Linked DNA regions of Oryzias latipes. The protein of the gene in region 2 interacts with the protein of the main gene of each other region in a pairwise test. Links are inferred from orthologs where the notes say so. Each region holds a gene or a part of one and is shown on either strand. Other genes may lie near its edges. The genes, in order: srebf2, nfyc and dr1.

The links.
Region 1: the proteins of nfyc (region 2) and srebf2 interact in binary tests that used the Homo sapiens proteins (3 or more experiments, as listed by UniProt). The link is inferred for Oryzias latipes from reciprocal best matches to the Homo sapiens genes NFYC and SREBF2.
Region 3: the proteins of nfyc (region 2) and dr1 interact in binary tests that used the Homo sapiens proteins (3 or more experiments, as listed by UniProt). The link is inferred for Oryzias latipes from reciprocal best matches to the Homo sapiens genes NFYC and DR1.

Annotation. Positions count from the first base shown.
Region 1 is NC_019866.2:19,989,947-20,000,486, reverse strand, and holds the start of srebf2 (sterol regulatory element-binding protein 2), read right to left. Parts: upstream 5,577-10,540; 5' UTR 5,325-5,576; coding exon 5,234-5,324; intron 722-5,233; coding exon 351-721; intron 268-350; coding exon 75-267; intron 1-74. Other genes in the region: uncharacterized protein LOC101155604, read right to left, coding at 7,527-9,391, 10,061-10,085.
Region 2 is NC_019869.2:22,269,808-22,280,156, reverse strand, and holds the start of nfyc (nuclear transcription factor Y subunit gamma), read right to left. Parts: upstream 6,115-10,349; 5' UTR 5,986-6,114; intron 5,620-5,985; exon of another isoform or gene 5,600-5,619; intron 3,452-5,599; exon of another isoform or gene 3,338-3,451; intron 2,977-3,337; exon of another isoform or gene 2,437-2,976; intron 1-2,436. Other genes in the region: uncharacterized protein LOC101158462, read right to left, coding at 7,970-8,169, 8,944-9,130, 9,231-9,332, 9,427-9,492, 9,577-9,685, 9,762-10,349. UniProt on the Homo sapiens protein: Component of the sequence-specific heterotrimeric transcription factor (NF-Y) which specifically recognizes a 5'-CCAAT-3' box motif found in the promoters of its target genes.
Region 3 is NC_019862.2:24,025,544-24,036,057, forward strand, and holds dr1 (protein Dr1), read right to left. Parts: upstream 6,107-10,514; 5' UTR 5,489-6,106; coding exon 5,269-5,488; intron 5,099-5,268; coding exon 4,935-5,098; intron 3,708-4,934; coding exon 3,561-3,707; 3' UTR 2,436-3,560; downstream 1-2,435. Other genes in the region: retinol dehydrogenase 8-like, read right to left, coding at 7,615-7,848, 7,967-8,150, 8,541-8,634, 8,706-8,885, 9,040-9,201, 10,510-10,514. UniProt on the Homo sapiens protein: The association of the DR1/DRAP1 heterodimer with TBP results in a functional repression of both activated and basal transcription of class II genes.

The DNA.
Region 1 (10,540 bases), on a different chromosome or scaffold from region 2:
CTAGGACTAGAAATATAAAGGAGACTCTTTTAAAGTCTGAACTTCATGCAAACAGCATCTCCCTTTGTAGTCACCTTGGAAACTATGACCTGGGCTCTGATGGCAAATGACGGAGTTCTGGATAAAACGGGACTGTCCGGCATTAGAGGCAATCATGACGGTTTGTGGAGCCTGCGTCTGGATGGGGAGGGGGGTCTGGCTGTGGGTCTGAACCAGGGTGTGGACCGGGAAACTGTGAGTCTGCACAGGAACGCCCTGAGTGTGCACCTGCAGCGAAGCAAACAGTCTGTTATTCAACAACACTTTCATGCGTCTCGAAGGATTTGGAATAGAGTCTCCAGAGTTTCTACCTGGATTGTTGGTTGGGCCGTCGGCTGTGGCTGAGGCTGGATGGGTTGGACAGCCGGAGGCCGCGGCTGCAGCAGCGGAGGACTGCGCGTCACCTGGTGCTGCTGTACTGTGGCGGCTGGGATGGTGGGGGGAGACTGTGCAGGAGTGAGAGGAGGTGTGGGGGGTACACACTGAGGAGAGAGAGACTGGGAGGAAGCCAGGCTCGGGTTAGGACTCTGATAGACGGCTGCAGGTGGAGTCTGATGGGTCTGAGCGGCTGCTTGAGGGGCGGAGCCGGCGCCGCTGCTCTGCAGGGAGCCCGCTTGGGTCATGTGGTCCTCAAACAGGTCTGGGAAGTCTCCCACCTGGTTGCTGACGAACTGCAGCATCTCTGAAGAGAAACAAACATTGCATCAAAACATTAAGGCCTTACACTTATTTAAACTCAGATTAGAACGACCATTTCCTTCACTAGATGCAACTAAAACAAATAAAGAAAACGGAATTTCTTTAAGCTCAAAATGCTATGAAAATGAATGTGGATTTGCCTCCAGGTAGTTTTAAATAAAGCTCGTTGCACAAGACGAAGAGCGTTTGCACGTGTTCCTGATGTGACCTTGAACCGACACATAAACAGAGCTACTGTTCATAACCTATCCATAAAAAGCAGCCTCCACAGGTATCCTTGATTAACCTTAGAGGAAATGTGGGGTGATATGGTTGGAGGGAGGTCACTCCAGTCTCCATAAATGTGTCTGATGAACCACTCCAGAACACAATAACTGACTAAATGCAACTCGATTCAAGCTACAGCTGCAAAAATTCTGTTTTAAATAATTAAACAAGGATCTAATAATTAAGAATCAATTTAAAAAAATAAATTATTCATTCATCCATTCATTTATTCCTTCATTCATTCCCTTCATTCATTTATTCCTTCATTCATTCATTCATTCATTCAACCCACAGTAGAGTCACAACAAAAATGTTTCAGAATTCCAGCACAACATTTGTCAAAGAACTGCTGTTGTGCAACTCAGCAGACTTTGGAGCTTGAAGACTTTGGCAAACAGCCTCTGGGTTCGTGACAGTGACGGTCCCCACGCCACAGATGGAGCGCGTGGCTTCAACTGTCAGGGTCACTACTGCTCTGCAGCCTTGAACTTAGTCCTGCTGCAAAGAAGCGAAGAGGACAATGCAAACGACAAGGCATCCATGGACGCAGCTGTGAGGAGCTGCATGCCGTCGTCTTGGGGATTTCTCTTTTTTCAGCACCACAGAGTTTTTTCTTAAAGGGCCAACTTAATAATTATATATGAAATGTCTAAGCCATCTACAAAGATAATAAAGTGCTAAATTTGTTTGCCTAAAATCTACCATAGAACCAGTTTTGCTTAAAGTAAAGTTTGTTTAAGTGCTTTATGCAAATGTATGCAAATTTACGAGTGAATAAAACTGAACAAAGGTCGACTTTTCATGAGTAAAATGATAAACTCCTGCATTAAAAACGATCAGAAACTTCTTCATTTAGCTCAAGAAATTCAGGAAATTATATGAATCAATTGTTTTCAAATAATAGTTAATATTTACTGCATTTTCTGACAGAAGATTGATAACATTTTGATTAATTGATCATTACAACTCAGCTCTCTCTAAATAATTTATTCATTGTTAGATTGCTTTAATTAAAAAGAAATAGGCAAATGTCACATTTAAAACTTTCTCTCTTTGTGATGGAAATTGTAGATCAGATTAATCATTTAGTAAAGACGCCAGAACTGTGACTTTAGATGTTTAGTTTGTGCTGAAATAAACAGTAATTTGATGGAATTGTACGGCTAAACAGACTAATTTGCATTAGCAGAACAAACCAGACTAAAAATAACAACCTGCATTTTAGATTAAGATTTGAAATGATTTCAATGAAGATTTTAAATGCTAAGTTTACATCTATAAATTCGATTTGTTGCAGATTTTACAGTCCTGATATACAATAATACACAGCTGATGGGGAACAATAAACCACCAATGTGCAGCAAAAAATATGGTTTCTGTGCTTGGAATTCTCCTAAAACATAAAATGACCCGTCTATACGATGATTTTAGGGAAAACTTCAAATGTTTTATTCAGTTATGTTGAATTACCATTTCTTCAAATGACCTAAAAGTCAAACCCAAACAGGAACAAACCAACCATGAGTGAACAGGAGCATGATATTTGACAAAAAAAAGCTGAACAAAAGCTACCCACGTGTTAAACTATCACATAAAAGATATTTAAAATAAACAGAATTTTAAGGTTTGGACAACAATCTATGCTTCCCTCTTCCTCCATGCAACCCCTAAAACATAATTTACATATTTAAGCAGAATGTAAACAGTGTGAATTTTTTTTTATACACAAAGTACCTTATTTAAAAGCTGTAAACCAATTACAACTACCAACTTCATTTGGTGTAATAGACCAACAAAATTCCTTCTGAAGAAAGCACTTTGAGTAGAAAATATTTTCTTCAATTTTCTGTTAACTTTCTGAAGTTGTTTCCTGAAACAGCAGTATCATCAGCAAACAAAAAAATGAATGCAATTTTTTTTTCATACCTTATCATGACAGTTTGAATAAGAAATATTTATTTCACTGTTTGTCATGCCATTATTCAAAAATATTCCTTCAATCAAGTTTCTTGGAAAAAAAACAACAACTGAGGATTAAAAATATGCTTCCGTAACAGGGTTTCAATTTATAACCACGTGTGCGAATACAGACACACTGAAATTTGGAGGTTGGGACCAGAATGAGCAAATTAACAAAAACAGAATAAAAATATTTAAAATGCAAAAAAGCATTAACAGTTTTAAAAGTGCAACTTTCACCTTTTTTGAATAATCTAACAACTGCTTTGTGTAAAACCTGTTTCATGAATAAGCTAATTTGGGCCAAAATACAAAACAAGATTGTAAAAAATAAAACAACTTTTAAATCAAAGTATAATCTTGTTTAAATAAATCTCATAAATTCTTTAAACTGACAGAGTATTTCACAAATGTTAGCTTTAAAATCTTGTTGAATCAATATTTTACAAATGACAGCAGTTTGTGTTTCTAATAAATGTATAATGTAAATTTTATAATCTAAATATAGGAAATTCATTTTTAGCAGGATCACATACATTTTGAAAGTCCAACAAACAAATCCTTCAAATGATTTTTTTAATAAGAAGGATGACAAAGCTTCTGTTAAGGTATAAATTAATCATTTTAAGACAATCTGGCTAAGATCTGCAATTTATAAAAGCATTTGGAAGAAGTCCTTTTCTTCTATATCTTTAAAACTGGTCATTTTGTTTGCAATTTTATGGCTTTGTAGCATCATTTGATCTTAAAATAACTTGTTTTCCTACTCCTACAGAAAATGTCACGATGGGCAGTGAGTCCTCAGACTCCGCCGGTCACCTGTGGCACATCGGAAAAATGTTGTTTGCCCTTTTTTTGGTTGTTGCCGGGGGAACGCAGACAGTAAACAAAGCGTATAAAGCAATGATCCTTTGTGTCTTAAAATAAACAACTTCATCTCTGAGCGTGTGTTTAAAGAGGTGCAACAAACGCAATAATGGTGTGAAAGTTAGACATAAAGCAGTTTTTTGAACGCATTCTCATGCAGACATGCTCGTCTTCATCCGTACTGTGCAGCAGACGGGACAACACTTCTCTGAGCCTCCAAAGCTTTAAACAAGCAGACACAAAGTAAATCCATCAAAAGGGGGAGCTGAGAGCAAAGAAAATACGTTATGTAACCAACAGTCGAAAAGATTAAAAGACAGGGAAGGGAAGCCAAGGATTTAATCATACAATCAAAAAACAAAAAATGACTTCTAATGTGAGCAAAAGGCTTTGAGAATTTAAATGCATGTAAGGGATGAGAGCTTTAGAAGGTTTGTTTGTTTTAACTCAATGATAGATGTTCTGCTGGTGGGTGCTTTAATGTTTCTTCACCAGTTTGCATTGAAGCAAAAACCAAAATGACAGAATTTCAAAATAAAAGAGCAGTTTCTCACTGCATCTTGATGGTCTCTGCCTCATAATAATGTTATACACCTAGTACCATTCTATAGTTCTCTATGTAGAACACACCCACATTTCATCAGTCCAGTCTGGTGACATTGAATGAGATTCCACACTAATGGGGATCTGGTGACTAGTGTTCAACCAAAAGCTCTGTCCTTTTACCCTCTGACAGATTTGCCTTTGACAATAGTAACAACACATCTGTCTTACCTATCAAAAAACGCAAGGAATGCAGACATCAGTGCAATTCTTAAGTAATTCCTTCATAATAAAGCTGGAAAATAACGACCACAACCTTTTCAACTGTCTTGTTCTTTCTTTAAATATTTTTCATTTTGCTTTACCAATAGAAGCCTATGTTCTGCTAATATTATATTATAATTTTTATGCTATCTTCCTTCATGTTTTATATAAATAATAAACACACAGGTGATGCTTTCTCAGTTTTGACTGACTGGTATTCCTCGACAGCCGCTTTGCCTCATTAAAAAAACGTCAGTTTTGAAAAATGACACTAGTTTGGGTGAATTTCTAGTCATTTTTAATCTCTAGCTTTTTTTTTTTGCACCTTTAATTTAACAAATAACGAAAAATAGCTTTTGTTTAGTAAAATATTGAATGAATCCAACAGGAAACGGAAAAGCAGAGACAAGTTTACGTGTATTTCCCACAAAAATAAACGTAGCTACAAACTAAATTAATAATAAACCCTGTGTGTTAAGAGCTACTGAAATATCTTAGTTTTCTAGGCTTAGAACATATGTGGAAGACGGACACTTACTATAATTAAAAAATAATAACAACACCTGAGTGTGTTGACAAAACCCAGTGAACTCACCGTCAATGTCTCCTAAAGTGAATTCGTCCCCTAATTCCGTTAAGCTCGGGTCCATGTTCTCCACGGTGGAGATGAACTCTCCGGTGTCCATCCTGACAGCAGCAGCTCTCCGGCACTCTCCCGCCGGGGGTTGCCGGACACGACACTCACAAACCACCGCCTCCTCTGAAGGGGCCCTGCCTACAGCTCAGCTACCGGCTAGATATATTTGTTCCGTATCGAAGTAGTCGTAACACAACAATAAACCGCCAAAAGAGGCTGACTTTTACTCCGATAAACACTTTTACATCGATTTACAGCCAAGGCGACGCCATCTTGTTTTACGCTAATTACGTCATTCACAAACATACTCCGGAGCTGAAGCCGGGATCTGATTGGTGGAAACCTAATTGTTCTTGTCATGGGACCAGTCATCAGTGACCAATGACAGAGCGGGATTTACCGTGGTCTGATAGCACGTCAACCATCAGAAGCCTGCGTGTCATTTGAATAAACCGCGCCCCCTGTCTTTATAAAGGAAACAGGAGCAATGGAGAGTCTGATTCGTCAGGCGGTTACTATTTATGAGTTTACATTAATACTGTAATTAAAAGCAGCGATAGAAATAAGCTCAACTTAAATCTTAAAATATTTACTTATGCGAAAATCAAATTTTCTGTTAATATGTGGAACTTTTGTCATTTAATTATTGAATTCTAACCATTTTCTGAATTCTATTTTAATAAAATATTTAAATGATAAAAACGCATATATTTAAATAAGTATTTTTAAAGAAACTAATGCTTGTAAAACCTAAAATAATATAAAACTTGTATTTAACATTTAAATGTGTTCTTTTTTTGCAGTATTCAACAGTTAATAAAGGACTGAACAACAAGCTTGTATATATACATGAAGAATAAAAAAGGCAAAAAAAAGGGTCTAAAATATAAGAGCGGTAGAGTTTATCCTGTCACCTCACCATTTGGCTGCTTTGTGTTGCGTGTAAATACCGTTTCGCACATTTACTCGCTTGTAAAGCATCGGTGCTACATCAGCACAATAACTCACCCAGTCACAGGTACCGTAAGTCTACAAATCTGCAGTGTGAGAAGTTCATTTGAGCAGCCTTCCCATTCATAATTAGCTGTGTTCCCTCACAACGTCCAGCTCATCCTAACCTGCCATGCAGCCTCCTCATTTAAACCTTAGTGGATATAGTGCTCAGGTTCAACTGCAAGTAAATTAGAAACATCTAACTGCAATGTTGTGGTACACTTGACTCCAGATTTTTTTTTTTGAATTATTTGTTTATTATTTTTATTTATTCGTTCATCTTCTTTACTGTTTTATCCCTTTCAGGGTCATTGGACTGCTGGAGCCTATCCCGGCTACTTGTGGGCAAAGGCAGGGGACACCCTGGACGGGTCGCCAGTCTGTCGCCATCACACACCCATGTACACTCACACCTAGGTACCATTTAGAGTCACCAATTAACCTATGAAGCAGTGGGAGGAAGCTGGAGTCCCCTGGGAGAACACAGAAAGGTCCTCCATTGATGTTCTGTTTTAGGTCTCCCAGCCGGGGGCCTTCTTGATGTGAGGCAAAAGCCTTTAGAAATAGAACATTAGAAGACAGGTTTAAGGTGTTTTATATCAAAAAACAGAAATAAATCAGCATACATTCAAGTCATTTTACATACTTTTTATTATTTAGTGCATATTGTGCTTAAAATACTTTTGTTCCATTATGTGGAGAAATGGTAACAAAAAACACTTAACGGTAAATGCCAGTTGGTAAACAGAATTAAATCAGTCATTTGAAAAATACATAATCGTTAATGTAGGAAAACTAAAGAAGTGCATGTTTATCTGTTAGGAAACATAAGAATAATAAATTTTAAAAATAATTTCCTGGTTCTAGATGGTCCAAACCAGAGGTAGGAACAGAAGTCCAAAGCTCCTGTTTGGGCTATATAATAAATGTTAGACAGTGTAGTACAAACACCCACTGTCATCTGTGAGTGCAAATAATCAAGTGTTTATTTTTCCTTGAGTTTATTTTCATGACATGATTACACATAATATTGATCATATTTGTATTTATCTAAATAGCAAACCAAAATCTCTTCAGATTATAGTTTTTTTGGGGTACAAATTCTGTTTGTTTCAAGCAAACAGCTTCTAGTGAATCACTTCAACTTACTAACAATTTGAAAACTTAAAAGTGAGAGAAAGCCACTGCATGTACTTATCATATGTACACAAGAAATGAATATGATTCCACTGCATAAAATTGGACTCCTAGCTTGAATTTATTTGTTCCAGTAGACTTCATAGGATGATTTCTCAGAGTAGTTGGTTCCTGCTGTTCCTGTACAACTTCTGACTTTTTCCTTCACCACCTTCACAACCAGACCTCCAGCCAGGGCGAAGCCTGCTGCAGCTTTTCCAATCTCAGCCACTGCGTTCAAAAGGCGAGAAGTTGTAGCTACTCTGCATCCTTGTAGCTCACTGCCAGTCCTAGCAACCACCGGAACATTTGCAGCTAAATCCTGAGCCACAGCAAAGGTGCCCTGATGAGTCCCTGCAGATATGGTTCCAGCAGAGCCTGCTGCATGTTCTGCCACAGCTGAAGTTAGCTGAGCTGCAGCTGCAGAGCCGGCATCTGCTGCTCCGACAGCTGCAGTTTCAGCTCCACTGAGAGCTGCAGCACTAAAGCTGCTTCCCTCCAGAGCTGCACCTAAAGCTGCACCAGCTCCCAAGGTGCAACCTAAACCTGCTGCAACCCCCACAGCAGACGCTCCTACTAAACTGACTTGCTGAAGGGCATCTAGGGCGCCCTCCTGAGGGCCGAGAGCCTCAGTACCAGCAACAGCTCCGATGGACCCGCCCACAACCACACCTGTAGCTGCACCTAACGCCACAGCAGTTTTTCCTGAGGCTGCAGCCACAATCGCACCAACCGCTTTCCCAATACCCGTACCTCCTGCAACCGACATTCCAGCAAGCTGACTGGCAGCAAAACCAACAGAACTGCCCACAAGAGAGACTCCAGCTGCAGCAGCTAACGGCACGGCAGCTCCAAATGCAGCCCCCACTGCCATGCCTGTGGCCCCAGAGGCCACCAGGATCTTAATTTTCTCCAGCACCTTTGGAGAAAGAGCCGCTTCCCTTCTGATGCGACCCAAGGATGAACGAAGAGTCCGCCGCTGGCTGACCGACCTGCTCCCACCCTGATGTCGGCCTCTAACATTTCCTCTCAGAGGAGAAAAGGGGTTATCTCTTCTTTCTTCTGTCCACCTTTCCACCCTAAAACCAGATTCCTCTCTATGATTTGGCTCCAAATCTTGTTTTCTTCGTTTTGGTAGTGTATTCTCGTCCTGATCTGAATCATCTGCAGGCCCTCGCTCCTTTAGCAATTTCGTCTGCTCGTCTCTGATGGCAGCCTCTGCCTCTAAAAACATCTCATTACTATAAAACCCTCTGTTACTCTGCTTAACCAATTTTTCCACTTTCAACAGTAGTTTCTGTATTTGCACTGAGTTGTTGGTATCTTTGTTGTTGAAGACATGGTATCTTCCTCCACACCTTGCAATCAGAGCTTTGAGGCCAGCTGGTGCAGTCTCCAGATAATCTTCAATCGTCATGTTTTCCAGGTCATCCCCTCTAGTGAAAAGGATGATGGTGTGATGAAGAACAGCAGCTTCTCCAAAGATCTTGATCAACTGGCAAACAGCCTGGTCCTCACAGTCTGTATATCGTCCTACTGGCACAACCAGGAGGAAAGCATGAGGACCAGGCGCAGAGATGGAAATACACTTGGCTATTTCTGCATGAGTCTCCTCCTCAGTGAGGTGAGTGTCTCCAAAACCAGGCATGTCCACCACTGTAATTCTCCTCTTACTTTCCTTTTTGGCAGCCAGTCCATCTTCCTCTGTGTCCTCTTCTACCATGACCTCAGCGCTACCAAGCTCACAGATCCGTGTGACAGAGCTGGCGCTGATCTGCGACAGGAACTGCTTGCGGCCCAGGATGGTGTTCCCAGACGCGCTTTTCCCAGATCCAGTCTTCCCAATGAGGACGAGTCTGACTTCCTCATTGCTTAAGGTTTTACCTTCTTCGTCCACCTCCATGTCAACAGGTTCTTCTTTCACTTTCTGTTCACCTGCAGGAAAAACTAGAAGAGACATTTTTATTTTGTAAAATAGTTCATCCATTTTCACAGCTGTCTTATAAAAGCTTAATCCCAACAGAAACAAACACCAGCTATAATACTGACTTAGTTTGTGAAAACAGCTGAAGCATTTCTACACTTTAATTGGAAAAAAATGCAGAAATTTTGTTTTTTTCTTGTTTCAATAACTGCATTACACAAAGTAATACTCCAATAATTACACATATGGAGTACACCATTTAGCTTATCCTGCACTAAAATAACCGAGGCTCTAAATTTGATTGGTAGACTCGTTTTTCTTTTATTTTCATTACAGTGATTTAGTGATTAAGGGAGAGAGAACTTGGTGGGTTTTTCTGGGTTAGCGTCACGCGCCTCTATCTTGTGAACTAGCATAAATGCTGTCCGCGGTTCCGGACGGTTCTGCACACAAAAGTCAAACAATTAGCTTCAAACACGAAGGCCTAAAACACCAACTATTCATTACTTCATTCATAACAACGCTTAACGAGGCCATTCAGTCAAACTTCAGATGTAAAGGTCGAGTTTGAACACATATAATCGTTAGAAATTGCACTAAAAACTTCAGTTATTTAACTAAGTGGGTCAGATACTAACAACATGATAAAAAAAACAGGTACCGGTAGAAGATGAATAAAAACAAAAACTTACCTTCTTCTTTAAAGTTTGAAGGCATTTGTACTTATGGTTAAGGTTTCCATTTCATCCTGGGAGACAAAGGACTAAGGTCAGGGGCTAAACTCTGCTCAGTCTCGAGATGTAAACACTGTTGTGACTGACAGTCTGCTGCCCCCTGCTGGTTCAGGAGTCAAACGTCACGACCCGGAAGCAGTAAAACCTTGCAGTTCCTTAAATGACCACTGGGGGAGTAGCGACAAGGACAAGGCTCTGTTTACTTCACTGTCACAAACAAACAAATACACAAACAAAATAACTTAAGTAATTCCGATTTCAAAAACTTTTTCACGTTTTTTGTTTTTACAGCAGAGTAATAGGGCCACCATAAAAGTAAAACAAAATATGTGAGAGAGAAAAATGACAAAAGGTTTTAATATAAGAGTAGAAAGTCAACAATTTTAGACAGAAAAGTAATACAAATCATAAATTTATGATTTAAAATAAATGACAATT
Region 2 (10,349 bases):
CTTCTCCATTAGTTCCTACTCTGTGCCTGAGCGTTTCTCATTTCCTTTGTCTACTAACTTTCACCCGATTGCCCTCACCCAACCTCCTGGAGAAAGTCAATGGCGCTCTGCTTGCAGCAGCTAGATCAGCATTAATGTTCTTCCGCTGGCCTGGTCCCACATCTTTCCACCTCATCCTCATCTCCTTCCTGGTTTCTAGCAGGTCGCACTGAGTGACCGGTAACAGCAATGCTGCTCTGATGTCACGCAAATTTATGTTACCATTTATCTCAAGGATAAAAGCCTTAAAAAAAGACTGTTAAAACTGAAAACATTATCATACTGTGTTTTTATTCTATGTTTGTTAAATTTGTGAAAAGAACCAAGCAGACAGAATCAAAACCATCAGTCAATATCCCCATGGGTTAACATTCAAATCATTTATTTGTACACAGCTTTCATTCGAAATCGCTGCATTGTAAAGTAAATGTGTCCAAAGGTCTGAAATTTCCTATTGGACAGCTTTTTAAAACTCACAGTCCTACAGGAAAGCTGTCTGTCACGCTTCCAAAACGAAAAAAAAGTGCTTAATTCTCCCCATATCTTAGAGGGAACAAATGGCCAAACATTAAAGTCCATTTGTTCCCAAATAGGGAACTATCTGACAACGAAATGCATAAATAACAGTACTGACAGATGCCACATAAAGACGAGCTGGCATGGATACAGCATGCTGGGTAAATGATTTACTCCTAAAAAGAAAGAAAGTGGGGGGAAAAAAGTTCCCAGTCTAAAATTATAAACTACTACCGGTACTTTGATACATGCAATAATTTGACAAATACTGGAGCAAGTTTTTTGTAAATTGAAAAAAAAAAAAAAAAAAAAAAGGAGCGGAGGACACTTCAACAAAAGTAATGATCACTGCGGGCTGCAGTGCAACATTATCCTTTTGGATCTGGCTGTACCAAACTGTCTGACCAAACGGCCCGGTTTAAGTTTGCCCTTGGTTCTGCTTCAGGCAAACTCCAGGAAGTGCTAGTCACTGATCTCCCAAGGTCATTTGACAGAGGGGAAAAGAGACCAGCGAGGGAGGAGGGTGAGAAAGAGATGAAAGAGACGGAGAGAGGGGGGGGGGGGGGGGGGCAGAAATGGACAGGTTTTTCAACTTTCACTGCGCCACTTAAGTGACCCTAACGGTTTAGGACTCCCGCTTTCCAAGAAGGTTTGAACATATAAAACTCAAAACATTGCACAGTGTACATATTAACTGCATTCAGCATTCTTCTGTGGATTTCTCCTCCACTCATCAACATTTCTTTGCTGACGGAGATCCTGCTGGAGACATTCTCACATTCCTGTGACCTTCATCCAACGTAAAGCCCAGTTACTGGCGTTAAAGTAGGCAGGCCTAAAAGGTACCTGCATACTACAAGGAGACTCCACCTGCCAGCCTCCAGGCAGAAGTGTACACACGTGAGAAATACAGAAAGGCCAAGGACGCACACAGCCATTTTGGTCACCTTAACGAAAGCTGATTGGGTGACTTGTTTCCTCAATTTGTTTTTCCCCTCGTGTATCTATAGTTCAGCTTAGGCCACAAATGATATTCAAATCTCATGCAGACAGCAGCCAACCCTGGGATTTGGCAGTAAGAGCTTCAACTTAAGAGTTATTTTTAGTCTCCCTCTCTCAATCTCTATTTTTCCTCTTTCCCCGACGGTGCTCCATTTTATCAAAAGGCACCAACAGAAAGTTTCACTGTAGGCAGCAGGAGAGACAGCGAAGTCGCTATGAAAAAGAGGCATCCTCCGAAGACTCCATCAGAAGAGATCAGATCAAACTATTAGCCTCCGCTGCCCCTGAAGCTGACAGGCTGACAGTCTGTCCCATCTGGGCGTCTAGCGCTGTCAGGGAGGAGGGGCTGTAGGGGGTCCCGAGGTCACTGCAACCAGCTGCACCTCCACCCCTGGGGACCCCTGACACCAACAATGTGACAACACTGAGAGCTATCTGCACAGCTCTTTATATACAACATTTAAGCTTTAAAAGTGATCCTATAACACTCATCTGTCCAGAATGGGGGAAAAAACATTTAAAAAGTAATCAAAATAAGGGTATAAACTGAAAATTCATGGTAGTTTAAAGTCAAAGCAAGAAATGTAAAGATAGAAAGGCTTGACCTTATGTGATTAATTTGACCTCAAAAGAGAAAAACACCTAAATAGGTACTCAATAACAGTTACAGATGGTTTAAGATAAAAAGCATCAATGCTGCAGTGAAGTGACAGTTCAAGGACATGGAAGAAAGATGCACACAACTCCAAGGACAGACTGTCTCTCTGCTACACAGAGTGATGGAAAGCCATCCAGAAATGAAAAGAGAGATAAACAGATTCTTTCTGAAACTCTTTCTGAAACTTTTGCTTGACAGATGTTCCTAGAGTCGTCACTTACCGCCGTGTCCTTCATGGTGAATGATCTGCCCTGTTGGGAGCACAGCAGAATAGATGGAAACAGATAGCCCTGCTCAAATCTCCTTGAGAGCAGCAGCAAGCGCAGAGGTTGACAGAACAACTCTCTCATGCTCCTTCACTTCCTGCAGATCATATCAACACACAAAAGGCTCCACTGGACGTCCCTTTAAAAAAAAAAAACCTATAATCTTGGACACAGTTAAAACCATTGACGCCTCTACCCCTCCCCCTTTCTTCCAATCTCATTTTACACATTGCTCAGTCTCCTTCAAACAGTCCCCTCAACGTCCTCCTGGACACGTCTTCCACTTCTCAACTTGCTGAACATGTGTCTTTCTTTTGTATTAGTTATTCTCGGAGATTTCCTCCACTCTCCTTGGCCACTGTCCCATAAGTTTGTCTTTGAAAGACCCTTGTCAGGTGCAGAAAAGAGGGTGATAAGGGGCAAAAAAAGAAGAAAATCCCAGCAGATTAACATTACAGCGGCACTCCCGACTCACAGACAAAAAAAAATCTCTAGCCTCCTTCCCCTTTAACATTCAAGCGTAATCAATCTAGCATGCTACATGATACTCAAACCCCTCCTTACGCCCAAATCCCACCTCCGCCGACACACAAAACCAATGCCAGGACGGGCTCCTCTTTTCCCATTGAATACTTCACACACCAATCAGCTGTGACTCCTCCCCTCCCATTCCTCTTTCTTTAGCCCAACCCCCTAGTACAGACAGCTAACTTCCTGTTCTAAGTTACCTTGAGCTGCAGGATAGGGGTCAGTGAAAAGAAAGGAGGAAGAGAAAGTAGATACGAAAAGACAGGGGGGGGGGGAGTTGTAAAAAGCTCCTCAGGGAGTGTGTGAGGAAGAGCTAGTGAAGGCTTGCCTCTTCATGGTTTGTTCTCAAGCGGCGTCTACCTCTTCTCCCGCTGGTCATATGGGAAAGAATCCACGGGCTGCTCTCTGACAACTGCTCTCTGCTTATTTACAATGTCAAACTAAATGTCTCCCTACGCTCCGCCTTCGAGCCGCTGCTACAGGCTGGCTGCGGAGTGATGCAGGCGGCCAGGCTACACCTCACTGGCTGAGAGAGAGAAGTGCCAGAATCAATGCCGCATGTTGCATCCACATGATTTAAAGTACAAAAGCATACTAGTCAGCCTCCTTGTCTCATGTGTGTACTCAGGCTCACACGCACAACCACACTAATGCACATTTTGTCCTTGCCTCCTTATTTATTCTTATTTGCTTATTGTTATTATTGTTGCTGGTTTACCTGCAAGTATTAAGAAAATTCACAACACTGTTCGGCAAAAATATTTTGATATTCTGCGTGGACATACATTTAAAAGCTGAAATTAAGGAATATTTAAAAATAAATAAATAACTTGACAGAGCCTAAAAGCCCAAAGTTTGAAAAGTAAAAACTGGACGAAAAATAACGGAATTATTTTATCAATAAAAATGTATCAGCTGATGAGAGAGCAGCTGTGGAAGATGGTGGCATTCCTCTATTTGTGGTTAAACACGACGAAGATTACGAGTGAGAGCTAACAAACACACACATTGTTGTCTTGACCCTTCAGACTATGCTTACAGCAACTTCCACAATTCATACGTCATCACAAAACCACACCAGCAATGTCTGACAATGTCCTTCTTGTGCGCTCCACACTGGTTAAATGTGCGCACGTTCGACTCAAAAACATTTACTTTGAAAGACCAAAGAAGGATTCCACTGCTCATGTGCAGAACTCATGATAGTTGATGCCATATTAGCTAGGTACTAGGTTTCCTAGTACTAGAAACGTGTTCATGAACTCTATGTAAAACAGAAAATAAACTCTAGAAAAGTACAAAAGTACAAGGCTAATGCTGTACTTTGCTGCAACTTAAGGTTTTGAAGAACAGAATAGAAAGCAAACCTGCACCATCAATGAAAACCTGAGGGGGAGGGGAACTGGAAGGATGGAGAAGGACAGAGAGGAGAATTGTTTCAGAATAGGAGGGGTGAAATAAATGAAGGGAGGAAGAGGGAACATGACAGACTCAAAAGAAACAGAGCTAAATGTTCCTTTTTGTAGTTTCACATGGAGCATGAAGACAGGGAAAGGTACTTCCAGCAGCCAGTTAAACATGGAGTCGAGATGTAAAAAAAACCAATTAAAAAAACAATAGATATCAAATGTATTAGCAAGTTTCTTCTATGTAGATGAACCAAAAAAAAAAAAAAAGTCATGACATATGCCAAGGTCACAGAACACATTAAACCTTCCCATGACCTCTGCAGCCATACCAGAAACATTTTTGCTTTCGTTGATGCTTTTTCGAGATAAGCATACACCAAAACAGACGGTGAGTTTGATAAACACAGAAACCCTCGCGGTTAGCCATTCAGCCACAAACATGCAAATACATAACAACCTGGACTCAACTGGTAAAGTTAGCTTAAACTACAGGAAAGACCGTTTTTTATTTGTATTTACGCTGATAACAAAACATCAAAAAGCCTCAAATAATTTAGATCAAAGTGGGTATTTATTACGTAAAATGCAGCACCGCTGCACCTAGCAAAAAGTTATTATAGTATTTCAAAAAGTTTTTTATTTATTTTAGATAAATTGTGCCTCTGACATATTTTTTTAGCATTCCTGCAAACATTTTAGAAGTGCAATTTCACAATTTTACCCACCCAGCGAGTGTCAGATATGTTAGCTTAGAATTTCAGACATAATATTCTCATAAGATTCCTGTTATCCTTTGAAACGATGGTAACTTCATGGAAATTGTACCTCAAAGCAAATTAAATAGGCGGGAGACAACGCTAGGTTTTAGTCCCAACAACGCTGCAATAAATTTAAACCACGGCCGCTAAAATATTGGAAATATTAAATGTGATGTAGTGTTAGCTTAAACATCTCGGCTGCCAAAACAGTTAACGGGGAAAGAGGGCAAACAAAGCGCCGATGGTGAACTTTAGAATGGTCATCCGTGCCTTCTCGGTACCGATAGTGAAGTTAGTGTTAGCACCTTGTAGACGGCTAGTCTTACAAATGTGCGTGCAGTTCGTCGTAATATTAATTACTAAATCGCAAACTAGTTCTGTCATCATGTGAAAGTTTGCAAATCTTGGAAGAAACGGACTAACCAATAAAGACAACGTTTGGGTCTGTCCTTCAGACCAATCAAACCTCGGACTAGATTCCACCAATCAAGGTTTGTAAGGCTAAGCTCGTTCTGAAACTGACGCCATTCGGGGTCTGATAGGAATAGCCAGTGTTCAACAAAACGAATGGTAATGAGAACCAAAATGGCGGACACAAAGCAGTGGTTTCCCAACCGCCGATGATACTTTCAGCGGGCCACCAATAAGCGCCTCAGAGAGCGGGGAGGGAAATGGCGCCTGTGTTCATCACCCAAAACAATCGTCTATTGGTCAAGAACAGCAAATGGAAAAAAGGCCAATTAATTGCCGCAATTTCGACCTATCACGAGTGTACACGGCAAACACATCAATGAAATTTAATTTCTTACTTATGCTCTTTTGCGGCTTCGCGGTGAAGTCCAGTGCGGCGTATTATTTATTTTATTTAGCTTGCAAAGGGAAACAAGATGGCTGCTACCTCATACCGGAAAGGGATGAACGTACGAACGCGATGACGTATAGGTCACGACGGCATCATCCTGATACTATAAAATGCAAAAAAAAACTATAAATGCCAAATAAATTATGCAAATCAAACAGGAAATGCAGGAAAAAATGTCAATCTTAAAAATATGAAACTATGTCTTTTTGAACATATGGTAACACTAATGTGATAAGCTACAAATTATGTAATTTTATTGCTGACCAAAGAAAAATAACGTTAATAAGACATAGTTTTTTTTAATTAGGTTTATAAATAATCTAATATTTTATAAAGTCAACAATTAAATTATTTTAATTCAATGTATTTAAATAGATGAAACTATATTTTTTTAGTGTTTATCATAGTTTTTGTGTAATCTTAACAAGGGAAAGTATATAAATATTTAAAAATGTCCACAAACAAAGAAGTTTATTTCCAGTTGAGGAGCCAGTGTGGAACAGAATACATTTATAACCAAACCAACCAAGCAAAAACTTTTATAAAGATATACAACTATCATGCAGATGAGTAATAAATTCATATTTCTATACTGCATGCATATTAGAAACAGATGTGATTACATGGATGCAAATGTTTTCATTTAAATGTGTCTGTGGGTATCTAGACTTACTTGTACTGTTTTTTTACAAGCACGATTTTTATCACACATTTAATTTCATCTGGATACTTTTGATGACATGTGTTTTCAGTACAACAGTAGGAAGCTTTTATATTTAAGAATGCATAAATGGCAAAATTAAATTAAGTTTTACTCTTCACTTTATGAATTTGAAAAATACTTTTCTTTTTGATGGTGAATCTTTTTATAATTTTTCAATGATTTGCATTTTCTGATTTAACTGCTCAAATACACTGCATCATTAAATTTATGATTGCTCAATGTCATGCTAATTTTACAAAACTTTGACTTTTTTCTCTTGCTGTCCAACTAGTTTTCTATGCATAAATTTAGTATTTTTCCTCGTTTTTCTTTTCTTTTTAATCAACAAAACATAAAACGGATAATTCTGAGCTATTATCTGAAAGTACTTTTGCAGTTCATTACATCCCTGCTCAATAAACTAAAATATCTGGCAATCTCAAACTGAAGCAGCATAATAAATCCCATCTATAAAATAGGATGGAATGTCAAGGTAACATTTTTTTGACTAAAAAACACAAATGTGTCGAGCAATCATTTTTTAATTAGGTTTAGGCCAAAATGCACACATAATTTAAAAGTCAAAAATACATTTATTTTCTTTTTACTTAGTAATTTAACAAAAAAAAGACAGTGGTAGAAGATAGTTTATTGTGACAACAACATAGAAAAAAATTGTGACAAATCATTAAAGCAAAAATAAACTGAATACTAAATACATTTAAGTTAAACTGGCAAAGATACTTTACTGCGACGGAGTTTTAGGGCCACAAAACTAAAAGTAAAATGACGTGATTTTAAGTCATAAATTTCTGAGAAAAACACTCGTAATTTTACAACTTAAAGTGGAAGTGAGCATACGGAGCAGCAGCAAGTGAATGCCGCGTAGCTGCAGAGCAGAACGACTAAACTCAATAAAGCTTCACAAAAGGCTCCACATATTTCATCTTCAAACTAGGCTCCGATAAACAGAAAACTTTGGTGTTTTTTCCTCGTTAATCTACGAGTTTTTTTCTCAGAAATTTACGAGATTTTAAGATGTAAATTTACGAGAAAAAAACTCGTAAATTTACGAGAAAAAGCTTGTAATTTAACAGTTATGACTTTCTTTCTTGTAAATTTACAACTTAAAAGACAAAATTAAAAAAAATATATATATTTTTTGTAAACTGGCCCTAAAACTCCGTCGTCAGTCTAATTTTTTTTTTTCCATTAAATGAGGCATCAGTTATTTTCTAGCCACAAGCTCCAGGAGGGCAGACGTGATCTTATCCAGATTTTTAGAGTAGCTGGGATCCCCGAGTCTCCTGCTTCCTTCTTCCATGAAATGAGGAGGCACACCGGAGTTTCGACTCTCACCAACTCCAGGCTGGTATTCTGAAGGACGCATGGGTTCTTGAAACCTTTCAGGATAAGATGCCAGCTCGTCTGCACAAAACAAGAGAGGAGAACTATTGTTAGCTGTAGAGTAAAACACCCCATTGGCGGTGCCTGACAATAACACAATGGAATTGTTTAAAAAAAAATACAACTAACATGAAAGGTTTGTACACAAGTCAGAATACTATTTGCAGAACTTAAATCTACCCATTCATCTAAAGTGGAGCATCAAGGGGGGGAAAAACACTTTCTTCTGCTCTCTCTCATAGATCAGATCAAAAAGTGGGTGTCAATCAAAAGTTTGATTTACAGGTGAAATTCTGAAGGGGAAGTAACCTGTTGTCCCCTTTTAGGGTCCTTGCAGAAAGCTCCCAGCAGGTGGGGGTGCTGCAGGACTTGAAACGTTATCAATAGAAATGTTTTTATTGTAACAAAAGCAGCTTGTAGCACCATTATCCAAAAGGCAACACTTACTCCTTGATGTCTTGCCTAACACATTAATTTCAGATATTGGTATTGCCAAAAAATAACATTGCGTTGAACTCTGGCATTTTGAAAAAGCTTAAAATGTTAAAATTATGTTCAAATTTAAAAGTTAAGGGTCCTTGCCAGTTTCTTTGAGCCCCCATATCTGAGTAATATTTTTAAAAATATCAAAATAAGATTAAGACATTAAATGAGAAATGTTTTTGTCAATTTGCAAGGATTTATCAACTTCAGAGAGAAAAAAGGTTATTTTTTAATTTTTTTTTTATATTTCTGATAAAAGTCCTAATTGTCTAACCCATTACAAGTTGCTTTAGGAAAACTAATTTCTTGTACCTTCATAACGGGTTCTGACTGATTGCTGTGGTTCCTCATGAGCAGGATATCGATGTGCCTGGTAGTGCTCCTCAGGTATATGTTCACGCTGGTTCCACCCTCTTCTGTGACCGCTGCCAAAAGCAGGGTCCTCCAGTCGTGTGTGATCAAAGCTTTCTCTTGTGTTTCTCTCATGTGGTCCAGGAGCCTGCAGGACCAAAGCAGAGTGACTTTTCTTTTTCCTGAATACCAAAAGAATTTTGCTTTGTGTGGGAATTGAAGTAAATTGGACATTAAGGATTTCATACCATGCCCTTCTCGCGTTTTTTGGCCTGGAACTCTTTCATAAGGGTGGCGAGTTTGCTCTTCAGGAACTCTGCTTCTTCTGAATCTTCAATTTCAACATTTTTCTAAAGGAAACAACGTGACCCAAAAGACTGATCAGGCCATGTTTCATGGCCGTTTCACAAGAACATGATGAAATAAAAACCGTTAGTTGTTTACCAGCATATCAAAGACACCCTCTGATTCAGAACTTCCTTGGTGATAGCCCTCTTTATGATGAGGAGTCTTAAAACAAGAAGAAACTGGTCATTATCATTAACAAAGCAAATGTAAAACATTTAAAAACTTGTAATCTCAAACAAGAGTCACCCGCGATTCTCCATAATGTCCAGAGTATTGGGCTCCTCCTTGCTCTGCTCTCATTGGTCGGGGCTCTTCTCTAGCAGCTGAATATGAAGGTCTACTTGCACCTTGAAACCTTTAATAAAAACGAGACATGAACGTCATTTAATACATGGATTCTACCTGTAAGATTGCATCACCTCTGCACTTACATTTGGCCTGTCATTTCCAGCTCCTCTGGAGTGGCATCAGAGAAGCGACTTTTTCTTTTGGCCAGGCCTTCGTTCATCACACCTCCTGTCAGGAAACGCTTGAAGGGCTCTGGGATGTTAGAAATGTTGGTGGCGACCGGAGCACCTGGGGACTCCTCTCTGCTCGGCCCAGGTTTGTCAAAGGATCTTTCTTGATGCATGTATCTCATTTCATGATGGTAATCTTTGATGATGTTAAACAGCTGGTCTTGGCCTCCTTCACCTTCCAGGGCTGCGGATACGTTCCTTCTCTTGGCTTCTGGTTCACTTGATCCTCGTCTACCAGCTCTGTCAAGACCACCATGCTGTCCTGATTCTCTTTCCAGAGACCAGCGTTGTTGATCGCCACCAGTGTAACCTTGATGGGGGGTCTGGTATTCGTGTGAACTTTTCCCACGCCTAACTTCCTCAGCGTAGAACTCCTCTAAAGCATCTCTCTCTGAGTAGGGTCTCTTGTAGGAAGAAGCAGCCTCTGATTGGTAATCATGACCTTGCCCATAAGGTTCCCTGTTGTCATACACGGGACGTTCTAGCGGCTCAACTAAACTC
Region 3 (10,514 bases), on a different chromosome or scaffold from region 2:
TGAATTCAATTAAAGGAAGGAGTACGAAAGAAGGATGTTCCACATCATAAAGCAGAGCAACATTTTCAAGAAGAAAGAAAAAGGATGAGACTAAAAAAAAAAAAAAAAAAAAGAACCTTTTAAGTGAGGCATCAATTTCAACATTCTGTCGGTATGAAAAGCAGATTTAGCCGTAAGTCATTCCAACTTCATCATTCAAACAGTCATGAACATACTGGGGGCAGCATCCCCTCCCATAGTGCCCCTTCAGGTTGGTAGTAGGCGGTCAGATGTTGCAGATGAACTTGGTGTCTCAAAGTGTCATCAGCAGGCTAACATCAAGTCACAGAACTACAAGTAGCTTGTGACAGACACAGGATTGGAGCCCCGCCAGTGACAGACCACAACCATGACCGGGACCGAAGGACCTCTGCACTCAGACATGGTTGGGTAAATGCCACACAACTGCAAGCCTGTGTAACCCGTGTGCTATCCTAGGCACTTTAACATTGGGAGTTGGGTCATCTAGACCCACTAGGCAGTCCTCTGAACCTTTTTTCTTCAATGATTTGTGATCTTCACTGGTGTCCATGGATTACATGAAATCTTTCCACCTTTATCCACCTTTGTCATGGTAGGGAGAAAACGTCAATGTAAGGGTGGGGTCATCTAAGATAGCACAAGGGTTAATAAGACTAGCACCATATTAATTATTGTTTACATGTTTGTTCGTTCACATATTTAATGTACTCTTAATTATCTTGCAAGGAATGTGGAGAGCTTCCCCTGCATTGGGCGGCCGTGGTGCAGCGGTAGGGCGGTCGACCCATGATCGTAAGATTGCAGGCTCGATTCCCGCCTTGCACGCCCATGTGTCGAAGTGTCCTTGGGCAAGACACTGAACCCCACCTTGCCTCTGGTGGGAGGTTGGCGCCAGTGTTCGGCAGCGGAGCCGCCATCAGTGTGTGAATGTGTGTGTGCATGGGTGAATGGGACTGTGACTGTAAAGCGCTTTGGGCCTTTGAAAGAGGGTAGAAAGCGCCATATAAGTATACGCCATTTACCATTACCATTTACCACTGTTCAGTACGCAAGTTTTTATCTCTGAGTCACGCTGGTTGATTCTGGGTCAGGGAATCGGATTATTCAAAATGAACGAATATTGACCATGAATTGTATGGTCAACTAGAAATTGTGATATGAATCGAATCATTGTTAAAACAAATCATTACTCCCCTATCACTAACTGATGTTCCTTTACATTGTCAAATGAGGGCAGTGTTTCCCTTTCTGACCAAATATGGAGTAAGAAGATCCAGCTCAGGCTGCACTGTGGAACAGTGGTTAGCACTCTTGCCTCATGGCAAGAAGGCTCTGGCTTGAATCCCAGCTGGATCCTTTATGTGTGTAGTTAGCATATTCCCCTCATGCATGTATGGGTTTTCTCCGTGCAGTCCAGCTTCCTCCCACAGTCCAAAAACATGCTTCATAGGTTATTTGATTACTCTAAATGTTAACCCTAGGTTCTAGGATGTTTCTGAGGTAAAAACATGCAATGACTGGACCACCTACAATAACCAAATTGATATTGCACTGACTGGTGATGCCTGCTTAACCCTTGCGCTATCTTAGATGACCCCACCCTTACATTGACGTGTTCTCCCAACCATGACAAAGGTGGATAAAGGTTGAAAGATTTCATGTAATCCATGGACACCAGTGAAGATCACAAATCATTAAAGAAAAAAGATTTAGCGCACTGTATAGTGGGTCTACATGACCCAACTCCCAATGTTAAAGTGCCTAGGATAGCACAAGGGTTACAGGTGCAATTGCATAAGGCTCCATAAACTTTAGCAGCAAAAAAACAGCCTATGGTGGCCTCCACAGCAGAATAAACAGCTGTCATTCACTCTACAGTAAATGTTGCAATAGAAACATTTTATTTCATTAGTAAAGGTCAGGTTTGAGAGTAAAACTGTTTTTCGCTTTCATGGATTTTTGAAAAGCATGCCGGGATCAAGTGACGTAAATAGTATATGAGGGTAATTTACATAGCGGTTTGCTACCTTCTAAGAAGCCCTTTACAGTCAGAGACCCATTCACAAACTGATAGCAGCTCTGCTGCTGAACTCTGGCGCCAACATATAACCTCCGGGGAGCAATGTGGGTTTCAGTGGTGACAAGGACACTTCAACACATCGCCAAGCAGAGCGGAAACTGAACCAGCGACCTTCCACTCATATGTCGACCACTCTACCACTCCACATTTTGTTTCCACAAAATGCATTAAGCTCAAAATCAAGATTTAACCTAATTATTGAGCAGTAGTTTAATTTAGTCTATACTTCAGAAACATTGTTTTTGATCACAGTTCTGCCACTTTTAGTTGATAGAAATATACTAATGTAGTAGTTTATTTTTATTTTGTTATTTTTTTCCTAGGAAGCATGAAGCAGAATGTACTTTGCTTTATTATACAAAGGTCATAGAAAAAGATACCATAATAATGTAAGCAAGCAGAACAGTACATCTTAGAAGATTAAAAAAAAAAAAGTCTATAAAAAATTATTTTATTGTTGAAAGAATACATTTCTGTAGAACAGACAATAAATGCATATCACAATAAGGTGGTTGGTTTTTTCCAAAGATGTCCCAAATTCCTGATGGAAATATATTATGTTGTAAAAGAACTAGAATGGAAACTGCAATGTAAGCCTAGACACCCAAGTGCCTCACAGAGATTCAAGTTTATTGTCTTTGACATGGTTTTTAGAAGATCTTGACTAAGCAGCACCTACATCTAAAAAAGGAAAAGAAAACTACAAAAGTTAAATCCCCCATCTTTGGTTCTATGAAACAAAAATGTGTAGGTGCTGCTAATTATCAATACTGTGGGTGTTTAAAGGAAAAGAAGTGCCTGGATGATCTAAAAATTAAACAATAATGCCTTTTAAGTTCTCTATGTAGCAAACAGCAGTACATGGGCATTAGCGTCCTGCCATTAGCCTATGCTCTCTAAATCTAACCCTACACAGTACACAGGCAGACGCTGATGCACAGATACCAACACACATGCTGCATGAATTCACTTTGACAAATAAACCGAGAAGGGAGAAAGATGCAGAAAGCAGATGCTTGGAAATTCCTGAACAGAAATTCTGAACATGTTTGAGCTCCAAGGATGAGTTGAACAGATCTTCTAATGCCGTATCAGAAGGAGCAAAGATCTGCTGTGAATTTATCTGTCACAAAGTCTGCTCTTTGAACGTGCTCTCAACACGTAAAGAAAAATCTATAAATTAACAATGAACATAAAAGTGAAAAAAAAAACCCAGGGGAATATAAATTTAATGAAAAACTTCGCAAACAGCCTTTCCATTTTTACCATTTTCCGGTAAAAACGCTTCTTTGAATGTGCATGTGGGGCCGTTTCTCCCCTCGCATCCCTTTCTTTAGCTTTCTAAATTTCAAGTACACAAACATGTTTTAAGTCCCTGTTCATGGCAAAACTGAGATTTGTGTACCAAAACTTTCCTAACGTTAAATTCAAACACAGTAAAGTGGGTCGCGGGGGGGGGTCACATTTCGTCCTCTTCGTCTTCATCCTGAGAAGAGCCCGCCTGCTGGGCAACGCTTGCAGATGCTGCTGCCATCTGTGCCTGCTGGGCAGCCTGCTGCATCTGCAGCCACTCCTGCTGTTCAAGCTCCGCCTGCTGCTGCCGCGCCTGCAGAAGACGCACATTCTATCATGAGTGCTTGACACAATGTGGCACTTCAGGTTTACCCATTCAAGCTCATGGCAACCTGCAGTGAGTCCGGCCGGTTACTGCAGAAATAATAGTTTTTGGTAATTTTTTAAATATATACCGTACATGTAACTTCTCAAAAAGGTTTATCTTGTGTTGTTGGATATTTATTAAATGAATATCAAATACAACGCAGCAAATCAAACAAAGCAATACATAGGAACAAAATGTTTTTTTTAAAGGAATGTGAACAAAATACATCTCTCTGACCTTAAAGACCCACTCAAATAAAAATCATGCTTTTGGTGTTTTTAACATGTTCTTGTAGCATTTTTCTAGCTTACAGCCCCTCAAACCCCCAACCTAACTTTACCAGTGCGACAAAAATGATAAGCAATATTGGATTTCCAGCTGTATAGCTGAGTCGGAAGCCTGTTAAGACGAGGAAAAAGACGTACATGGATGCATTTGTCTGCAAGAGGATGTATCAGAATGGAGCAGAGAGGGAAGCTTGTGGCCCGCCGATTGTAGCTTTTTCCACACAGCATTTTGTCGTTTGCTCCTGACTCAGAACTATTTGAATGAAGAAATGCTCAGAAATGTAATATGAAGCTTGTTTTTCTTATGATACGTCTTCCATCATCAGAAAAATGCCACAAGAAGATTTTAGAAAACACCAAAAACATGATATTTTATTTGAGTGGGTCTTTAAAGTAAAAAACCTTTAGCAAAAACACACCATGGCCTGTCAGTTAAAGCTGAAAGGGCCACATTAACTTACTTTGAATGAGCAGAGAGTGCTTTGTTTCAGGACAATCAGCATAACTCAAAGAGGAAGTTACATTCAGGTTGATTTAAATGTGTATGCCTATATGATATTTGAAATTGTTTTGTGTGTACATGTCTTCATTTCTACAATACTTGACAGGAAAAGATTTTTTTTCATCTTAAATACTTCCTCTATGAGCTTAGTTAAGTATTTTCTATTAAAACACCTAAATTTGTTTGCATCCAATCTTAAAGGGGATTGATATCCTTAAATGGAATGACCAGTTTAGAAACTTTTGAAAATGTTAACAAAACCAAGCCCTTCTGTACCTCAAATGAAAAGTACAAGTTGTGTGCCCGTGTTCATCATGATCTGTAGGTTAATATTATTGTGGGTGTTCAAGCCACATTTGAAGGTGCAGTTTTCTGAGATCAGACCTTGGCAAATAACTCCTGCTGCTGCCTCAAGAGTTCCTCCTCCGGAATGCCCAGGTTTTCCAGTCGAGAGCTGGCCTTCCTCCTCTTAAGAGCAACCGTTTTGCACTCCTGCAGCACGTCTTTCACCTCTGTGATGTACGAGCCGAAACCAAGGCTCTCGAGGGCTGTGGTGCAGAAACACGAGGTTGAAACTACACTTTCTATGATGTGAAGCTTGCAGGAGGATCCGTGCTCCTTTGCATCCCCCCCCCCCCCACACACACACACACACCCACCCACATAAAGGACGAGCGATATTTAAAGAGGTGGTAAATACATGTAAATGAGAACCAACCGTTAATGACATGCTCTGGAGATATGGTCTTCTTGTCGGATTTGTTACAGATCTCATTCGCCTCGGAGGAAATAAGATGGATGAACTCTGTGCAGCAATTGACCACAAGCTCCCTGGCATCGTTGGCCACCCGTACGTTAGGCAAAGTTTCTTTGATCATTTTGTTGATAGCTGCTCTCGGTATGGTGAGGTCGTCGTCATTTCCAGACGAGGAAGCCATAGTGATGAAAAAAGGGGGGAAAGGAACAGAATAGTGGAACTCCGCTTCTTCGAGAAGATTTATCACGCGTTCACTGTCTTCTCTATGTCCATGTTACAGTAGACAGATAACGGTTCAAGAAAATATCGATGGAAATGTTGCCAAGCGAGCTAGTCTAAGTTAGCCCACTGGCTAGCTTACCAACCAAATGTCAAACAATGAGCAGGTTCTGTTGCTTGAGCGGCGCTCCTATATCGTATTTAATCGGCGAATAAATGTCCAAGATTGCTCTGAAGCTTACAGTAAAAAAAGGGAGGGGGAAGAAAAATTATATCCTTATATCCGTCGTCCGTGGCGAAACTGAGACGCAGCACACAAGTCCAATGAAAGCGGAGAGCATGGCTAAGCTAAGCTAACAATTAAGCGCAGATGAAGCGGAGCTGTTTGCTTTACGAAGCGCAAGAATTATAGTCAGTTCTACTCGTAAATAATTGGAGTATTTATATGTAAGTCCTGAACTTGACCAAAATTTGATTGCAGATGTTTTGTTTAGGTTTATAATTTGGAGTTGTGTACTGTACAAACATTAGCTGAAATGTGTCCGGTTACGACGTCAGACAAAGGGCGTTTTTGATTGGCTCCGAGTGTGCGCTATAACAATTTCCGGTGCCCACCAGGATGGAGTCGGGTGGTACAACAAATGATTGGAAATTGTTCCGCAGGGAGCTACAGATGTAATTATCTTTTTTTTCTTTCGTTACAAAACCAAACTATTATCTCTGATTTTTCTAAGATTGCCTACTTTTGGAAATATATTTATTTTAAATGAAGAAAAAAAAAGTATGTATCTACAAATGCATTGTTTTTAGCAGTTGTAACATTAATATTAAGAATAATTTGATTCATATAATTTGTGGTTGCTGATATGATTCATAGTTAATTTTAGATCATAGTGAACCAGTAAATTTATTACGATTCACTGACCTTATTTTGATCCAGAACATCTTCAGCCAAATATTCAACCAATGTGGCTCAGAGATAAATACCTGGGTACTAACAGTGCAAGGTGAAGTTTTTCCACATTCCTTGTATTTCTTTCAAGATAATCAAGTGTAAATTAAATATGTGTACAAACAAGCCAGTAATCAAGTACCAATGTCAAATCCATTCACATTTTAGTTTCATAAAGTTTTGCCTACTGTTGTTTTTCCACATAAAAAATAATACAAATGGAACATTATCAGAACATTCTACCACACTGTTTGGTCACGTCTTTGCTAAATCAAAAGTGTTTTGCTGTCATCTCGTGTGTGTGTGTGTTGTCCACTGTGATGCACGTGGTCATTTTTAAGTTACAGTAAAATAAACCTACAATGCCTCAATCCAAATGGTATTTTTCAGTAAAGATTATAGTCAATTTAATTTTGAAATGATCTTATGGTATTTATCGATTTGATTAACAACTTGTCTCAGACTTTGATCTGGATAAATAAATTAATTAAGTGTTACATCCCTACTATTCTTTGTTTTATCTGACTTAGAGTTGCCCCGTTGCCATGTGTGAACATTTTGTTTTTAAGTTATATTTACACTTCCAAAAAGTGTAAATATACATTAAATCAAGTTCTACCTGTAGAACTTGATCTAATGTAATTTCTAAAGACAAACATTTCAAAATGCCAAACAGTAGTTTCTCTCACAATGATCTTTATTTAGTGGCATAGAAAAATTAATAAAGAAATAGAACTTCCTTTGAAATTATGATAAATATTGTTGTTAGTGTTAGTTAATTCGTTTAAATAATAATTTTGGATTTTTTAACAGAAGCTAGCCAGCTTATTGAGAGCAACAGAAAAATATAACTGGGAACAATTTTACAATAGATCAAAAGATGGTAGAAGTGGGATTTAAACATGTTTAAAGTGAATTTTAATTAACACAGTGGAATTCGCCACTGTGTTAACTGTTTAAGCAGTTCTCATGCATCAAAATTTACACACTTCTCAAACCTTTTTTATTTAAGATTGCCTTCAAATACATATACTCTCTCAATTCAAATACTACTTCTGTAGAAGGCTTTTCAAAATGTAATTTTAAATTCTGAACCACTGATGTATTTTGCATTTGAAATTAAAATCCTGAAACACTCAGTTCTTGTCTTTTTCCAGGGTGAAACTCTTGCGACTTCTCCAGCGCAGAAGTTTGAGGAAGTTAAGGCTAGCGTTGAAGACTTTGTCGTGCTCAAACACCATCTTGTAAAATGTGTCAATTGGAAGGTCACCATTGGGGTCGGCATATTTGAGTGTTGTCATGGGGGTGTAAAGTGTGTTTGTCTGATGGCGAAAAGGCGGGTTCTCCATGGTGATGATCTTTAGTGTGTGCTGAGAAGAAAACACACAGCAAAAAAATCAACAACACTAAAACAAAAGAGAACTTTGCTTCAGAATGTCAAAACACATGACATAACTGACACACGAGCATGTTTGGGGGGCTGTGTACCTCTGCGATGTCTTCAGCACTTTGTCCAAGGGTTTCAAAGATTTGCTTGTAGTTCTTCAGGTAGATGTTTGTGAACATATCAGCAGTTGGTTTGTCAGCTTTGCTGAGATCGATCTTCACACCTTCGTCATAGACCTTTCGTTCAAATTCTGTCAGCACCGGGCCTGGTTCAATCAAACTGATGCTAAAAACATAGTTCACAGTTTTAATTACAATTGCTTGGATTCTGGTAAAAAAAAAAAGGGGTTGAAATTTGGTTTTCTTTTGTAACTAGGCATTTTAAATTATGTGTAAACTGGAAACTGTTTTTTGTAATTTGGAAAGGGGTTTAGGAAAACCTGGTGTCTTGTCGTTTCACTGTTATACATATTTAGCAATATTTGCCTAGACAAAATTGATGATGTTTCTCTATTGGTAATAAAAAAAAACCTAACAATGGTCACTTAAAATTAACTAAAGAGCCCAACACAACCTCCATAGATATTAAAGGTGAACCCAAAGTACATCAATGTAAACAGTGTCTATTAAAAGACAGTTACTAACAATTTTGTCCTTGTGTGTTTGAGTATCTTACTTGAGATTAAATCTCAAGGCTTGTATAGCCAGGCTCTCACAAAAACCTTCCACTGCAAACTTGGATGCTGCGTAGACGTCGTTGAACAAAATCCCTAAAACAGAGAACATCACAGGTCAGAGAGTCACAGACAAATGATCAACTAGGCATTGCAGCCGTCCTCACCTTGAATGCCCATCACGCTGCTAATGACCACGATGTGGCCTTTCTTCCTTTTTTTCATGTCGGGTAGGATTTCCTTCAGCAATCGCACAAGTCCGAAGAAGTTTGTGTCCATGACCGTCTTCATCTCATCAATAGACTGACATTCAATGGGTCCGATCAGGCCCATCCCTGCATTGCTTACTTTTACCAGGAAATAAAAATGTGGGGGTCATGTTGACAAAGTGTGCTCAAAAGATGTTGCACGAAAAAGAACTTCAATAAGTCTGTTATGGTGCGTCATAACACTTATATCAAGACAATACTCATGTATGAAAGGAACCTAGAGTCGACATACTGAGGATGTCCACCCTGCGTTCTGGTAGGCTGTCAATACAATCTTTGATGGAATCCTCATCACAAACATCCAGCTTCTTGATCTCCAAGGTTCTGCCCAGTGTCCGACCAGCCGCATCTATCAGTGGCTTAGCCTTGTGCAGGTCCCTCATGGTTGCATAGACTGCAAGAGAAAAACATTCAGTGGAAGATGCAGTTTTTAGTTGCTGTGTCACTAAATAAAAGTAGTTTTATAATAAGCACAATGACCTCTGCTTGATTTTAGAGGCTCTTCAGGCATCTTTTGTCCTTAGAAAATTAACAGTCATTTTCAAAGACTTTGACCAAAACTTGTAACTATGATCTCTTTTTAAGCAGCAGAAGTATCCCCTAACCCCTGCTTGGTGTGCTAAGAAAGGTGTTCACCATTTTAGAATTGTTTTGTTTGGAGAAATTAAACCCAAATAATCTGTCCCACCTTGGAACCAGAAACCTAGTGTAAGCACAGTCCACTCCACATAGACTGAATTTGAAATAATCCTGGGTGGCTGTGGCTCACAGTTGCCTTTCAGAGAAAGGGTTGGTGATTCAATTCTTCAGTCACATTTCAGATTGTCCCATTTGACAAAACACTGATCCTTTAGATCCCTCAGGGGGGTCCAGAGCCATGGCTGGCCTCATTAGTGAGTTGTGGAGTAATCTTTACAACATTCAGAACCATCATGCCAAAGCCTGGAAGGACAAAGTGAAGGAAAGAACTCAACCACAGCTTGTATATAAGGATGGATGAAATGCATGTGACTTTATAAAAACACTTTCCAACAACAAAAACAAAAAAAACAATATCCTATAAGATAACAGAATAAGTATAAACCAAAGAGAAAACATTTGTCATCGTTAGTGGAATCTTTTTTAAAGGAAGCATTTTTACCCGTAATATTGGTTCTCTGTGAAGAGGGCGGGTAGGATCAAGAATTAAAAGATCGGAGGATCAGCTCATGTTAGATATTTTGGAGATAAATGCAGGGAATCAGATTGAGATGATCTGGAAATGCTCAGAGTGATTATGTAATAAATTAATACGGAGACAATAAAAGCAGAATTTTGATACAGCAACAGAATATATTACAATGAGAACCATATAAACATTTCTTTTCATTGTATTTTTTGCAAATAAATACCATGTAAACAAACATTCTCCATCATTCTTGTCTTTTGCAGCAGGCAAGAATGGAGAACGTCAATAAAACCCTAAAACCTGGTTAAAATGCTTTTTAGTCTCAGCCTCCAAATATTCAAACTTTAAAAAATGGACTTAAGTTCTGCTGATGGTGTCTCTTTTTTAAAACATTAATTTGTTAAACATCCACATCCTGTTTTCAGTGTACTGTTAAATATTGCGGTCATTGTTTCAAACATATTATTGTACAAATATTAAAATAAGGATGTTTTCAGAAACAGTTTAGGCTCACACTAAATCATTGAAACTTACCCATA